Struthio camelus: one gene and its partner. The protein of the gene in region 2 purifies or fractionates together with the protein of the main gene of each other region. This does not show direct contact. Links are inferred from orthologs where the notes say so. Each region holds a gene or a part of one and is shown on either strand. Other genes may lie near its edges. The genes, in order: POP7 and RPP30.

Region 1 (7,117 bases), on a different chromosome or scaffold from region 2:
GGGGCGACCCGGCCGCCCCCTGCCGCCCCCGGGTCAGTCGGACCCCCCCAACCGCCCGCAGGGACAGCAGCAGCCCCCAAACCGCCCCCGGGGTGACGGGACCCCCCCAAACCGCCCCCAGGTCAGCCGGACCCCCCCAAACCGCCCCCAAACCGCCCCCGGGGTGACGGGACCCCCCCCAAACCGCCCCCAGGTCAGCCGGACCCCCCCAAACCGCCCCCAAACCGCCCCCTGGGGTGACGGGACCCCCCCCAAACTGCCCTCAAGGGTGACAGGACCCCCCCAAACCGCCCCCAAACCGCCCCCGGGGTGACGGGACCCCCCCAAACCGCCCCCAGGTCAGCCGGACCCCCCCAAACTGCCCCCAAACCGCCCCCGGGGTGACGGGACCCCCCCAAACCGCCCCCAGGTCAGCCGGACCCCCCCAAACTGCCCCCAAACCGCCCCCTGGGGTGACGGGACCCCCCCCAAACTGCCCTCAAGGGTGACAGGACCCCCCCAAACCGCCCGCTGGGGTGACGGGATCCCCCCCAAACCGCCCCCAGGGTGACAGGACCCCCCCAAACTGCCCCCTGGGGTGACGGGACCCCCCCAAACTGCCCTCAAGGGTGACAGGACCCCCCCAAACTGCGCCCTGGGGTGACAGGACCCCCCTAAATTGCCCTCAAGGGTGACGGGACCCCCCCAAACTGCCCCCTGCGGTGACGGGACCCCCCCAAACCACCCTCAGGGGTGACAGGACCCCCCGGCTGCCCCCTGGGGTGACGGGACCCCCCCCCGGAGGGTGACGGGACCCCCCCGCGGGCGCCCACCTTGCTGCCCTGGACGTAGAGCGCCAGCATCTCCTCGCGCCCGTAGCGGTGCTCGGCCCGCCGGGGGGGGGGCGCCGGGGAGGGCGGCGGCGAGGCCGGGCCCCCCCCCGCCAGCGCCCGCAGCCTGCCGCACCCCGTCACCGCCTGCCCCACGGCGGGACCCCCACGGCCGCACCCCCCCACGGCGGGACCCCCCCACGGCCGCACCTCCCCACGGCGGGACCCCCCCCACGGCCGCACCCCGTCACCGCCTGCCCCACGGCGGGACCCCCACGGCGGGACCCCCCACGGCCGCACCCCCCCACGGCGGGACCCCCCCCACGGCCGCACCCCGTCACCGCCTGCCCCACGGCGGGACCCCCACGGCGGGACCCCCCACGGCCGCACCCCCCCACGGCGGGACCCCCCCCACGGCCGCACCCCGTCACCGCCTGCCCCACGGCGGGACCCCCACGGCGGGACCCCCCCATGGCCGCACCTCCCCACGGCGGGACCCCCCACGGTGGGACCCCCCCCCATGGCCGCACCCCGTCACCGCCTGCCCCACGGCGGGACCCCCCCATGGCCGCACCCCCCCCACCCACAGCGGGACCCCCCCACGGCCGCACCCGCACCCCACGGCCGCACCCCCTCCACGGCGGGACCCCCGTCACCGCCTGCCCCACGGCGGCACCCGCGCCCCACGCAGCCCCGAGTGTCCCCCCGGCCCCACGGCTGCCCCAAGCGCCGCCTCCCTCCCGTCCCCGTCCCGTCCCGTCCCCGTCCCCGTCCCGTCCCCGTCCCCCTCCCGTCCCCCTCCCCACCCCGTCCCCCTCCCCTGTCCCCGTCCCCCTCCCCACCCCGTCCCCCTCCCCTGTCCCCGTCCCGCACTCACCACTCCGGCCCGAAGTTGAGCGTTTCGGCCGCCATCGCCGGGGTCTCGATCGGCTCCTGCACGGCCCTGGGGGGAGGCGAGGGGGTCGGCGGGAGCCCGGGACCCCCCCGACCACCCCCGGGACCCCCTGACCGCCCCCCAACTACCCTGAGCCCCCCCCGACTGCCCTGGGACCCCCCGACTGCCCTGCAACTACCCCTAGACCCCCCCAACTGCCCCTGGAACCCCCCAACTGCCCCCCAACTACTCCGCGACCCCCCCGAGTGCCCCCTGACTACGCCACGACCCCCTTGGGACCCCCAACTGCCCCGGGACCCCCAACCGGCCCCCCCAGGCTCACCCCGAGGCGGCTCCGGCCCGGCCGGGGGCACCGGGGCTCCGCGGGGGGCAGGGACCCGGCACCGGGCTCCGGCGGCACCTGCGGGAGGGACCCAGGCGTCCGGGGGGGCCCAGGCGTCCGGGACAGGGGACCCAGGCGTCCGGGGGGGCCCAGGCGTCCGGGACAGGGGACCCAGGCGTCCGGGGGGGGGACCCAGGCGTCCGGGGGGGCCCAGGCGTCCGGGACAGGGGACCCAGGCGTCCGGGGGGGCCGAGGCGTCCGGGGGGGGGACCCAGGCGTCCAGGCTTGCTCCAAGCCCCGCACTCCCACCTCCCCGTCCCGGACGCCTGGGTTCTCCGTGGGGGGGGGAGGGGGGTGTTGGGGGTCACGACCCAGGGGTCGCCATGGGGATGCGGGGGGGGGGGTTGACCCAGAGTCACCATGGCAACCGGGGGGGTCTCTCGAGCCGCCGTGGCGACAGGCCCAAGGGCAGCGGCGGGCTGGGGGGGCGCCTCCATGGCAACGGCTGCGGGGGGGTTCCAGAGTCTCCATGGAAACGGGGGGTCTAAGGTCATCATGGCGACAGGTGGGGGTGCTCTAGCGTCTCCATGGAGACCGTGGGGGGGTTCCAGAGTCACCACGGAGACGGACGAGGGGGCGGGGCGCCGAGGGGGTTCTAGAGCCTCCGCGGCCAGGGCCCAAAAAGGGGGCGGTTCTAGAGTCTCCATGGCAACAGGCGGCGTGAAGGGGGGCGGGGGGGGGTTCTAGAGTCACCATGGCAACGGGCCGGGCCGGGGGCTGTAGAGCCACCGTAACAACAGGCCTGGAGGGGGGCGGCACCGGGGTCTCCATGGCGACAGGCCGGGGGGGGGCTCTAAAGTCATCATAGCAACGGGCCTGGGCGGGGGGGGGCTCCCCATGGCAACGGGCCGGGTGGGGGGGTCTCCATAGCGACGGGGGGGCGGGGCCCCGAGGGGTCTCCGCGGCGACGGGGCCCGGGAGGGGGAGGGGGGAATCCGGGGTCTCCATGGCGACGGGGCCCGTCCCGTCCCGCCCCGCTCCCGCGCCCCCCGCCCCCCCCTTACCGGCGGCCGGGGTGGGCGGGGCCGGGGCGGCGGGGCGGGGCGGGGCCGGGCCGCGGGGGGCGGGGGGGCGGGGGGGGCTCCGGGTCTCGCGCCGCTGCCGCCGCCGCCGCCGCCGCCGCCTCGCCGCTTGTTTGTGTTTGTAACCAAGATGGCCGCCCCGCTCCGCGTCACGTGACGGGGGAGCGCGGGGGAGGAGGGGCGCGGCGTCACGTGACGCCGGAGCGCGGGGGAGGAGGGGGCGCGGCGCGGCGTCACGTGACGCCGGAGCGCGGAAGGCAGGAGGGCGCCCCGCCCCCCGCCGTGACGTCGCCGCCCCGCCCGCCTCCCGGCCCAGGCCCCGCCCTCCGACGGCGGCCGTGACGTCAGCGCGGGCGCGATGACGCCAGAGCGGTGCGGGGGGTGGGGGGGGGCGCAGCGGCGTCACCGGCGCGCGCGCGCGACCGGGGGGGGGGGGCCCTTCTCCGGCGTGACGTCACCGCCGGCGTCAGCGCGCAGCGCCGGGTCAGGGGTCAGCGGCGGGCTCCCAGGGACCCAGGCGTCCGGCGGGGGGCGGGGCCAGCGGCGGGGCCACGCCCCCGGAAGCGGAAGCGGCGGCGGCGGCGGGGACGCGCCGAGGTGCGGGGCGGGGGGGGCGGCTTGGGGGTCCCAAGGGCAGGTTGGGGGTTTTAAGGGCATCTTAGGGGTCTCTGGGGGCGGATTGCGGGTCTCGGGGGCAGGTTGGGGGTCTCGGGGGCGGCTTGGGGGTCCCTGGGGGCAGGTTGGGGGTCCCTGGGAGCGGCTTGGGGGTCCCTCAGGGCGGATTGGGGGTCCCAAGGGCAGGTTGGGGGTTTTAAGGGCATCTTAGGAGACTCGAGGGCAGGTTGGGGGTCTCAGGGGCGGATTGGGGGTCCCTGGGGCAGGTTGGGGGTCTCGGGGGCAGATGAGAGGTCTCTGGGGGTGGGTTGGGGGTCTCAGGAGCAGATGAGAGATCTCTGGGGGTGGGTTGGCGGTCCCTGGGGGCAGACTGGGGGTCCTGGGGGTGGATTGGGGGTCCCAGGGAGCAGACTGGGGGTCCTGGGGGTGGTTTGGGGGTCCCAGGGATCAGACTGGGGGTCCTGGGGCTGGTTTGGGGGTCCCAGGGAGCAGACTGGGGGTCCCGGGAGCAGACTGGGGGGCCCTCAGGGCAGACTGGGGGTCCTGGGGGTGGATTGGGGGTCCCAGGGAGCAGACTGGGGGTCCCAGGGAGCAGACTGGGGGTCCTTGGGGCAGAGTGGGGGTCCCTCAGGGCAGATTGGGGGTCCCAGGGCTCAGACTGGGGGTCCTGGGGGCAGAGTGGGGGTCCCTCAGGGCAGACTGGGGGTCCTGGGGGTGGATTGGGGGTCCCAGGGAGCAGACTGGGGGTCCTGGGGGCAGAGTGGGGGTCCCTCAGGGCAGACTGGGGGTCCCTGGGGCAGACTGGGGGTCCTGGGGGTGGTTTGGGGGTCCCAGGGAGCAGACTGGGGGTCCTGGGGGCAGACTGGGGTTCCTGGGGCAGATTGGGGGTCCCAGGGAGCAGACTGGGGGTCCCTGGGGCAGACTGGGGGTCCCTCAGGGCAGATTGGGGGCCCCAGGGAGCAGACTGGGGGTCCTGGGGGTGGTTTGGGGGTCCTGAGGCTGGTTTGGGGGTCCCAGGGAGCAGAATGGGGGTCCTGGGGGTGGACTGGGGGTCCCAGGGAGCAGACTGGGGGTCCTTGGGGCAGACTGGGGGTCCTGGGGGTGGTTTGGGGGTCCTAGGGAGCAGACTGGGGGTCCTGGGGGTGGTTTGGGGGTCCCAGGGATCAGACTGGGGGTCCTGGGGGCAGAGTGGGGATCCCTCAGGGCAGACTGGGGGTCCTGGGGGTGGTTTGGGGGTCCCAGGGAGCAGACTGGGGGTCCCTGGGGGCAGACTGGGGGTCCTGGGGGTGGTTTGGGGGTCCCAGGGAGCAGACTGGGGGTCCTGGGGGCAGACTGGGGGTCCTGGGGGTGATTTGGGGGTCCCAGGGAGCAGACTGGAGGTCCTGGGGGTGATTTGGGGGTCCTAGGGAGCAGACTGGGGGTCCTGGGGGCAGACTGGGGGTCCCTGGGGCAGATTGGGGGTCCCAGGGAGCAGACTGGGGGTCCTGGGGGTGGTTTGGGGGTCCCAGGGAGCAGACTGGGGGTCCTGAGGATGGATTGGGGGTCCCAGGGAGCAGACTGGGGGTCCTGGGGGCAGACTGGGGGTCCTGGGGGTGGTTTGGGGGTCCCAGGGAGCAGACTGGGGGTCCTGGGGGCAGACTGGGGGTCCTGGGGGTGATTTGGGGGTCCCAGGGAGCAGACTGGGGGTCCTGGGGGTGGTTTGGGGGTCCCAGGGAGCAGACTGGGGGTCCCAGGGAGCAGACTGGGGGACCTTGGGGCAGACTGGGGGTCCTGGGGGTGGTTTGGGGGTCCCGGGAGCAGACTGGGGGTCCCTGGGGCAGACTGGGGGTCCCAGGGAGCAGACTGGGGGTCCCGGGGCAGCTGCGCCCCCGCCGGGGGTCCGGCCGCCCCCTCACGCCCCATCTCCCCCCCCCCCCCCCGCAGCAGCAGGATGTCGGAGGCGCCGGCGGGAGCGTCGCAGCCGCAGCCGCAGCCGAGGGCCGCGCAGGCGCCGCGGCCTCGCCGGGGCCCGGCCCCCCGCCCCCCGCCGGCGCCGCCCGGGGCCCCCCCCGGCGCCGACGTCTTCGTCAACATGCGCACGGACTTCCGGGCCCAGCTGCGGCGCTGCCAGCGCCTGCTGGCGCCCGGCGCCCGCCCCGAGATCCGCCTGCACGGCCTGGGGCTGGCCGTCACCCGCGCCATCAACCTGGCGCTGCAGCTGCAGGCGGCGGCGCCCGGCGCCCTCCGCCTCCACGCCAGCACCTCCACCGTGGCCCTGCCCGGCCCCGGCCCCGGCCCCGGCGCCCTGGCCCGCGCCCGCCACAACTCCGCCATCCACATCCGCGTCTGCCGCCACGGCCCCCGCCCCTGAGCCCGCCCCGGCGCCTGCCGAGGCTCCGGCGCCTGCCGCCGGCACCGTCTGAGCTGCCGCCGGCACCGCGGGGACGGTCTGAGCTGCCGCCGGCACGTTGTGAGCTACTCCGGCACCGCCGGGACGTTGTGAGCTGCCGCCAGGACGTTGTGAGCTGCTCCGGCGCCGCCGGGACATTGTGAGCTGCCGCCGGCACGGTCTGGGCTGCTCCGGCACCACCGGGACGGTCCGAGCTGCCACCGGGACCGCCGGGACGTTGTGAGCTGCCACGGGGACAATCTGAGCTGCTCCGGCACCACCGGGACGGTCCGAGCTGCCACCAGGACCGCCGGGACGTTGTGAGCTGCCACGGGGACGTTGTGAGCTGCCACGGGGACATTGTGAGCTGCCACCGGCGTCGCCGGGACGTTGTGAGCTGCCACGGGGACAATCTGAGCTGCTCCGGCACCGCCGGGACGTTGTGAGCTGCTCCGGCACCACCGGGACATTGTGAGCTGCCGCCGGGACGTTGTGAGCTGCTCCGGCACCGCCGGGACGTTGTGAGCTGCCGCCGGGACGTTGTGAGCTGCCGCCGGGACGTGGTGAGCTGCTCCGGCGCCGCCGGGACGTTGTGAGCTGCTCCGGCACCGCCGGGACGTTGTGAGCTGCCGCCGGGACGTTGTGAGCTGCCGCCGGGACGTTGTGAGCTGCTCCGGCGCCGCCGGGACGTTGTGAGCTGCCGCCGGGACATTGTGAGCTGCCGCCGGGACAGTCTGAGTTGCTCCGGCACCGCCGGGACGTTGTGAGCTGCTGCCGGGACGTTGTGAGCTGCCGCCGGGACGTTGTGAGCTGCTCCGGCGCCGCCGGGACGTTGTGAGCTGCTCCGGCGCCGCCGGGACGTTGTGAGCTGCCGCCGGGACATTGTGAGCTGCCGCCGGGACAGTCTGAGTTGCTCCGGCACCGCCGGGACGTTGTGAGCTGCTGCCGGGACGTTGTGAGCTGCCGCCGGGACAGTCTGAGTTGCTCCGGCACCGCCGGGACGTTGTGAGCTGCCGCCGGGACGTT
Region 2 (9,227 bases):
AGATGTTTCAGACCTTAACCAGCCACCTTAACGCCTTGTGCCCTCCTGCAATCCCTCATAACTTTTTTAGGTTGTGAACTAACCAAGGAGCCAATGCTGTTTAATTAGTCCCATGACACACAGGCCTGTAAAAAAACAGGAAGTGAAATCAAAAACATAACACGTACTTGGACTAGCCCAAAGCACTTAACATTATTATAGCACTGGCACTACCAATAAAAAAAAAAAAACAGAGATGATTGTACTTACATGGAACAGTTTCTCAGTCTTAGGAAATACTGCTATGATGTCATATAACCTTATATTTGTAGATGTTGATCTCTACAAAAGGAAGAAACAATTAGTACTTTGACTTCTGGCAGATGCCAAACATATGCACAATGATTACGACCAAAGTAACGAGAAGAAATATTACTTTTCCATTTTCTAGTACTAAAGCAAAGCCAATAATCATCCAATGAGTCTAACAATTTTACACGGTAGGTCTCTGATGTGAGCAGTTCTCTGAGGTCATTTTGAAGCTTGTCCCATCCACCTAGTTAAGCACTCCCACTTTTCGACTTAGTAATGTCAAAAATTGCAGGGCTTTCTCATGGCATTCTCATCAGGAATTTTAGATTCTTGCATTCTAGATTCAAGTCTGCATCTCTTCATGATCACATTACCTTCTAAAGATGCAGTCTGAGAAAATCAGTGATAAGTGTCCTATGAAATCCATGAACTTCTTCCCAAAGAAAGAATGAAACTTTGGAAGTTTTGCAGGGGAGAGGAAACAGAATTCAGAAAATTAATACACTGAATATACTTACCAAGAGATTACAATGGGAAGGATCAGAAACAACAAGTGTTAGCCGGTTTAAGACTTTAATTCGTTTAGATGTCCCCTACAAAGAAGAAATAATACAAAAGTCTTTAAGAGCTGCAAAGCAAAAATTTATGGTGAATTTCATCCTGTTTGCTTTACAGAGAAAATGGTGCCTTGCTCATATGCTTGCCTATACTAATTTTCTAGAAGTCTGTAGTTACATTTTATTTTTATTGTTTTACAGTGATCTGTTCAGTATCACATCCGCCCTTCAGAAAGAAGGACTTACAGCATTTCTTTGAGAAAGGGTGAACTGAAAGAAATACTTAAATAAATAGACAGAAAAAATGAGCACGTTTTGTTAATTCCACTATGCTTGCCCAGGCTGGCTACAAGTGTGAGCAAAAGTAACTCCTGAATTAACATGTCAGTGATTTGAAATATAGCCTTGGTTTATTATATTAAGATCTTGCTCCAACAAAACCAGGAAGCCATTTCCAGAACTCAAGACTCTTTTGTTTCAAGTGCTACACTATAATTATTCAACTACAAGAAGCTTAAATCCACATCAAACAACTTTTAAAATCATTTATAAAATTAAAAACTAGAGTGTCATCTAAAGCGAGTGCCTAATGCTTCTAATGTTGGGGGTTTTAACAATTAAGCAATGGAAAATTTTCTCTTTTTTGATTAACATGTAATACACAAAATTGCATACACTAACACACCAAGGTAAAAACATAAAACTTAGAATATGTAGGTGGAATGTAGATTGACATACTTGTACAACAGGCAAAGATGGAAACAACTCTGAAGGAGATACTGGCTTGACGATTTCCTTAAAAGGGAATCAAAGAAAGAAAATTATTCAAAATATAATGGATTGCATTTAGAATATAAACAAAGGTTGTTTTCATAGAAAAAAAACTATTTACCAAGGACAGTTTATGGACCATACTAAATATCAACCGCAATGCAGTAATACTGAATTATACAATTGGAGTTTTGTCACAAACGGAGGCATTTGTATATACGTCTAGACAAGCGTTCTAAAGAGAAAACTATTTGGGAACATGTAATAAGCCACGTAGTTTTACAAAATAAAACATACTAAGAACAAATACCCCAACAAAAGTTACCTGTTTCTTTTCTTTAAAATCGATGACATGATTAAGAGCAACTGTCGAATATCCCACTAGAAAAGGCAAACAGGTTGTAAGAATGTTTTGTCCAGTAAACTAATAGAAACAAATCCAAACAGAAGCCTGATAAGCTCAGCGCATAAATGTCTCAAAATTAATAATGATATGCATATTTTCCTTCCACATCACAATTCTCTAGCGATTAAGTCACAAAAAGAGCGTCTTAAAACACAAAATTCTGTTTGCCTTTTAACGCATCCCAGTCTTAATAACGTTTACTCAGTGGCAGAGCTTTTCAGACACAAGCGATTACTTGGGCAGGACCGTTCACATGGCCAGGGCGGAATTAGATACAGGAGACGCCAGCCCTGTGTGTCACTTAGACTTCAAGTAAACTGGCAAGTCTATGATGTCTTCAGGAGCGTAAGGCTAGGAATGGTTTAAGCCAATCTTCACTTCCCAATTCTGCGCATCCGCGAGGCTGCCTGAGCCTCAGGCTTACGCACCTAAGCAAGCTCGGGCAGCTTAAAAAGGAAAAAACGCATCTCTGACGTTTTTGTGAAGCTGCACCGTAAGAACGGCAACGGTGCCGCGCTAATCCCACGTGTGCACACTGCCAGATGTGAGCTTAGAGCTCTTCTAAGGGACAAGGCTGACTGAAGTTCGTTAATCTCCACTTACAGGCTGCTCGTTTCCCGCTAGGTGTCAACACAGACTTTTAAAGAACACGCTACGTCAAGCCAAAATAACTTCCCCCTGGATCAGGAGAGGCGCACAGACTGGAAAGACGTCACCATCTCGCCCACCTTCAGTAAGATTGCTGACACTGGCTCGAAGGCCACCCTTGTTAGCAAGTTAGGAAAATACGTTAGAGAGGAAACTGCTCTAACGTCAGCAAGAAAGTGCTCGAAAACTAAGAGCAAATATCAACAATTAGTCATCCAGTCAGGGTCTCCAAAGCTTTAGTCCTAGCGTCGTCCTATTAACTATTTTCTTTAAGGGACATGGTTAGTGACATTCAGGATACTTGCTAGAACTGCAGAAAACACAAAGCTGGGAGCGAGGCAATTCTCTTAGAAGGCAAGGTTTAAGCTCAAAACGGCGTGGACAAGCCAAAGAGAAGGCCTCACTCAACGGCGGGGAGGAGGAAGAGCCTACGCTGGCCAAAGACCAACCACCTGCCCCACGCTGGCTGGGGGCAACCGGACCCGCAGCAGCTCCGCGGAGCGAAGACTCAGAGTCGGGACAAGCCGGAGGCGGAAAACGAGCCCACGCGTTGGGGGGAAGACAAGCGTTACGCTGGGACAGGGACAGGGACAGACAGCTGGCAAGGCAGGAGGCAACCTGGGGAAGACCCCCAGCCTCGGCACTGCCCGCGTAGAGGGCCACAAGTCACGGGGGGCAGAGAGCAGCCGGGGGGGGGGGGAGACCCGACGAGCGCCACCTCTGCCCAAAGCCCGGCCCGCGCCGAGCCCAGCACCGCGGGCGCTTCCGCCGCCGTTCCCGCCCGCTCCCCTCCCTCCCCAACCCTCCAGCGGCCACCCGAGCCCGCTGCCGCCCCTCTCTCTCCCCGCGGGTCGCCCGGCGCAGGCACAGGCGCCGCCAGGGCCAGGGCCGCGGCCGAGCGCAGCCCCCCCCCCCCCGGCCGCCATCGCGCGGGGCCGCCCCGCTGCCGCACTCACAGCGCGCCGCGGCCTCCAGCAGGCTCTGCACGCACTTCTTGTCCGGCCCCTGCGGCACGTTCAGGTCCGCGAAGGCGGCCATGCCGCGCGCGGGGCGGGCTCCTCCTGCCGCCGCCACCCCCGCGGGCTCGGGGCAGCTGGGGCTTGTAGTCGGCCGGCGGCGCGCTGGGCGGCGCTGGGCGCAGAGCGGGGCGGACAGCCCCGCTGCACCCGCTAGGCGGAGCAGGAACCGCGCTCAACGGAAGTGCGACCGGGCGAGTCGAGCGAGGCCGCCGCTGGAGGCTGACTGCCAGGAAGTGTGCCCTTCTACTCCTTTAAAGGTCTTGGTTTTCCTATCTTAGCCAACAAAATGAGAAATAAACGCCAAAGCTGCCGTGTCAAGAGATGCTTCCCTAGACGGCAAAAGGCCTGAGGGATTATAAATCCATAAGTCGGATGCATGTTAGTTATGTGGCGCTATTGCAAAACCCACAAATCTCATTCTAAGGTTTATCAGCAGCATAGTTAAAGTACGGGTGGTAATTATCACTGCCTTTGTTCTTTTGGGTGCAGACAGCAAACTGGGTCTCTTTTCCAACTTTAAAGTAGTTTTCCAAGGCCTCCACCCGGGCTGGAGAAGCCTTTGCTTTCTTCAAGCTGGACTAAAGGTTGATGAGAGAAAGTCTGTGGGGTATCGAACTCCAAATTCTTAACTGGGGAAAGCTGCTGCTAACCAAAGGAAAAGCAGTGATGCTCCCAAATCCTCAGTCAGTCCCTGCTTACTGTAGCTTGGTGCAGTTTTCACCAGCTATGCTTTGAGACTCATAACTCATTTCTCCCCCAAAGATCCCACAATTTGCAATGGATAAGCAAGAAACAGTCGTGCCTGGCTGGCACGTTTCCGGCCTTGCAGTCTGATAAGTTACAAAGTCTAGTAACAGTGGTAAGAGAGAAATTACCAGCGGGCTGCCGTTAACTGCAGCAGGCACTCAGGGCAGCTCTGGGGTGGGAAACAGCTGCCTGCCACACCGCTGTGAAAGGAAGAAGAAAGCCCAGCTGATAGACAGCCTGTTCCTGCCACAGCTGTGGTTGCATAGGCAGCCAGTTCTTGACAACATTAGATACCAAGATATTTCAGTAAAGGAGCTCTGTTTTGGTCCATCTATGGCCGTGAGATGCTTGCCTATCAGATCAGCCAGTACTGTTTCTCTGCCAGTCATTTAAACAACTAGCAGAGCCTGAATGGTATTCTTGAGGCTTTTCTTTGATGTGTATAAACGTGGAAGAGCTCAAGATATTATTCCAGGTTTTCTTTAACTGAGTGCATGCATGATGGAGCTTCATTTATCTTAGTGAACAGAAGAAATCAATAAACATGTATCAATTATTTGGGAATAGACCTCCCAGAGTAGTGCTCAGAGACACAAAAAAGGACTAAGGAGCTTTTGTGGCTGGCACTATGTGAGTGAGACAAACCTTTTCTAGAGGCGCTTGTAATGGAGAACTCTGTTAATTTAAACAGCTCTTCACAAATCCGGCAGAACCCTATTTGTTGTAACGATTTAAAAATCTGAGTATGAAGCAACTTTCAGCACCAGGGTATCATGGATGATGTAAGCAGACCAGTGTGAAACCTTATTTTCTGCGTTACTGAGGTCTTACTACTTTTGTTTATCCCCAGTGATCTATTTAAAACATCTTTGTGGTCCTCACTGTTAAGTCATAAGCCTCCAACATGCTTCGATTTGTCTGTGTCCTGAAGCCCTTTTAGTGGAGCCCAATTTCCCTCATCGAGGTGTTCTCTCTCTCAGTATATTTGGATGCCAGGGGAGTCTTTCTGTGATTTTTGTGCAGACCAATAGGCTCTTGAATCCATCTGAGTACCCCTAACAATTCTTCTAATATGCTTTCAACCAAGGACCCTACACTGGCAACTATCAGATTATTTTGCTTTCCTTCTGCATTCAGCTCCTTTAGGGAACTAAGATACTATTGGGTACTATCTATCTCAGCAACTCAGTAACATGAATGTCGCCATCACTTTAATCATAATCTCAAATCGTTCCTTTGTAAAGGTGCATACTGAATTTTCAGAGATGGGAACTTTGCTTGAGTGATACAGAATTTTTAGCATAAATTTCACCCTGTTGGTTTGTTTTATTTTCAGATGACAGCTTGCTGCTGTCAGTATTTGCTGATCCCAAAAAGGGAAGGCATCATTGCACATTTATTTAAGTTGCACAGATGTATTTAATTTTGACAATGAAAAGAAACCCCAAAGATGTGAACGGTTACCTCTCTCTTTTACTGCTATAGAGTAGTGATGATTTATTTTCACAAAGATAAAAAAAGGCAGTAGAGAAAAATGCAGCTGTAACATCTTTGCTAGAAGTCGGACAAGAGTGTTATTTGCTAAACAGTACATGCTGGGAATAAAAATCAAGGTTTCAATAATATTTGTCCATAGAATTCTACCCAGACTGTGACAAAATACTCTAAACATCTTGGCAACATATTTCCCTGTGAGAAACATATACCTGTACTTTATTTTTTATCCCCAACATCAGGCCTTCACTTTATTGGTATCCAAAAAAGAAAATGAAAACAAAAGGAAAGAGGAAAAAACTTTTACGATAGACAAATGAAAATGACAATTTATGAAGACAGACTGGCTCAGACAAGTAAGGAGAAAAAAAGGAGATGGTAAAGAAAGGAAGAAGAACAAGAACTCATGTTTCATATTCATATGTGGTACCTTCTCGCCATGTACCCAAGATTGCAGCACCTTTAGGCCTTTATGTTAAAATGAGCAGAGCTGTTGTTTTCCAGACCTAGGTGTGTGGAGAAAAGGGCTACTGCCCAACAGTTTCTACCCTGGTGGTGAAGCTCCTGGTGCTGCACTTCTTGACCCATTTGAGTCCAAGTACTTGGAGGCAGCAAAGACCTGCTGTTTCAATAGCCCCTGGAAGTACCAAGTCCTCAGGAGAGGGGCCATTCACCAGGAATCAAGGATTTAGCAATTGTTCTTCCAACACAGATACTTTGATAGAATCATTTTGGCCTCACTAAATCGACGTGTGCTGGTGAAATTTTATTTCATTAGCTAGCTCTGACCTTACCTCTATCTAACCTTACCTCAGTAACATAGTAGCAAACAATTGGTACCATCACCCACTCTTACACGATACAACTAGAGTTTATATGAATCACAAATGCTAGAGAGATGTAACTATGTGATTACCACTATTTTTAGAAAACAATCAAACAAAAGAGTTCATTATTTTTAGAGGGGAAAATTCAAAGAAAAAGGTTCCCTCACCTTTTTTTTTTTAATTTGGAATATTTCTATATAACAAAAAGGAACATTAAAGATAAGATTTGCAAATAAAGCCCATAGGCAAATGTGAACAAACTTCTGTAACATCTTTGCTAGAAGTCGGACAAGAGTGTTATTTGCTAAACAGTACATACACAAACACAACAGTAGAAGTGATCTAACTTCACTAAGTGCACAACAAATGAGGGGCTAGGGTCTTAAGCACAGAGTCAGAGATGAACAGAAATAAGAAGAGGAGCCTTTATAGCCTTTCTACAAGTCTAAATTACTCAAAGGACAGTACGTTACTGAGCTCAGCCAGAAAATTATTGGCTGAAATTTACTGAAGTTTCGTGGTAGGTGAAAAGGTAATATCTTGTGAGGGCACAAATGTCAGCTTGTTATTTTTGACTCCCAGTCAGCCATTTGTTTAATTTCTGTATACTGTCTTGAACAGCATGTTCACATTTGTAGAAAGGGTCACTGAAGACAAAAGTAGGATGCACATTTGGAAGGATCAACTCCTAACGTAATACGTAATTAGTTTTAAATACATGGAATGGATGTAATCCCATGATATGATGATGTATGCTCTCTGCTTTCACAGATGCTGGGGGTATGAAAGACTGTGAATCCCCAAGGAAAGCACCTCACTAGATTCAGCTCAGCCCCGGGAAACTGGAATGTTATTCTAGGTGTGTCACAGTGAAAAGCTTTCAAGGAAGGATTTGTATAGAGGTATCAGCTGCTTCATCTCGCCACAGTGTCACAGATTTTCCCTCCAATCGTACAAACATCCCTTTGACTTAAATTGACTTGTCTCTAAGGAGATAAGATTTGAGAGTTAATACAAAGAGTGGTAACATATGACCTTTGAGAAGAAAAGAAAGCAGAAGATTAACTTTTAATGACTGTATGGGAATTTCAGGCACAGAACGAAAGATGAGGCTAAAATCTTCCTTTCAGGTTGAAATGGGTAAGAGTAATATGCAAATGATCCCGCATATAGTGTGCTGAGTACACTTACAGAGTCACGTTCTGGAAATACATTGAAAAGCTGTCAAGAAAAACGACTGATTTAATGAACTGTGTCAACACATTTACAGGAAGCACCAGATTATAATTTGCCTTGCCTTAGTCACATTTTAAGTAACTGAAAAATTGCTTTTACAGCAAGCATTAAACTGTACCATGTTATCAACTTTTAAGATACAAATCTATTTTGAACAAAATTTACCCAGTTCTCCTTAGCTGTACTTCAGACATTATTTAAAAAAGAATGTATTCACACAAGTAGGAGACAGTCTCCCTTCTGCGTGCTTTGCCTTAATGCTTTAACCTTTATTAAGGTTTAGCTTTATTTTGACCTGCCCTTTCTAATTTTAAAGACCTTTTTCTTCTTAATATTTGCTTAACTATGATGGAGGGCAAAGGAATCACCCTGGAAGGGCAAGCCACTTAAAGCTCAACGTTAATGAACACATTCTGAGCAATTAAACAGGGAAGTCTTTTGCTGCGAATGGACTTAGGCAACTAAGGTGAAAGCGTGACTGACTGGGAAAGCACATTCAACTTGATAATGGTTAAGGAGCTGCCCAACTAAGTCTCTCACTTCTCATGTGAAACTTACTTATTGTATTACTCAGATCAAGACTCAGATTGAGGTGTAAGGGGAAGCGAGCAATTGAACTCTCCCAAATCCTGCTCACCCTGCCTCCTGGAGCAGGTTGTGCCTGTGCTCAAATTGTGTAGGGGTAGCTGGCTCCTCTGATCTGATCCCAACCCCACAGTGTGCTGTGGACCAATGTGAAATCACATATGATGAAAACCCTGGTTTCAGGATTCAGGTGATGGTGACAGAATGGAAGATTTCATTAAAACAATAAATTCTGTGAGCCAACTATCGGAGCCTCATTTGCTGTGGATTTGTGTTGCACTAGTGCCTGGGAGAGTCAGCTGAGGTTTTTCCCAATGGCTGGGAAGGTCTTCCTTCAAAGCAGATATTATTATAACTGTATGATGTGAGCTCATACTGCAGCCTCTTTTACTGCTGGGCCACAGAAACAGTTCTTCCCTCTAGCTGGTGCTTGTTATAATGTTACCTTCAAGACCTACCCTCACTCAAGAGGTCACTGAAATTGGTCAACAGTTATTGATCCATCTGGAGTCAGTTCTCCTGCTCTCATTTCCTCCCTTTCTCTATCTCTGGCTTCTATCTCTTGTTGGAAATCTAAGGGGATGCTCAGGAGCAGGTGTGTCCTGTTTCTAAATATTATTGTCTAGCATGTTAAAAAAACAAGCGA

Evidence for each region.
Region 1: the proteins of RPP30 (region 2) and POP7 purify together in Homo sapiens (co-immunoprecipitation; 4 studies listed by BioGRID and IntAct, counting the BioPlex papers as one, with this or other methods). This does not show direct contact. The link is inferred for Struthio camelus from reciprocal best matches to the Homo sapiens genes RPP30 and POP7.

What each region holds. Positions count from the first base shown.
Region 1 is NW_027182637.1:11,859-18,975, forward strand, and holds POP7 (ribonuclease P protein subunit p20), read left to right. Parts: upstream 1-5,653; coding exon 5,654-6,073; downstream 6,074-7,117. UniProt on the Homo sapiens protein: Component of ribonuclease P, a ribonucleoprotein complex that generates mature tRNA molecules by cleaving their 5'-ends. Also a component of the MRP ribonuclease complex, which cleaves pre-rRNA sequences.
Region 2 is NC_090948.1:20,234,615-20,243,841, forward strand, and holds the start of RPP30 (ribonuclease P protein subunit p30), read right to left. Parts: upstream 3,857-9,227; 5' UTR 3,712-3,856; coding exon 3,630-3,711; intron 2,001-3,629; coding exon 1,945-2,000; intron 1,644-1,944; coding exon 1,587-1,643; intron 885-1,586; coding exon 810-884; intron 322-809; coding exon 250-321; intron 1-249. UniProt on the Homo sapiens protein: Component of ribonuclease P, a ribonucleoprotein complex that generates mature tRNA molecules by cleaving their 5'-ends. Also a component of the MRP ribonuclease complex, which cleaves pre-rRNA sequences.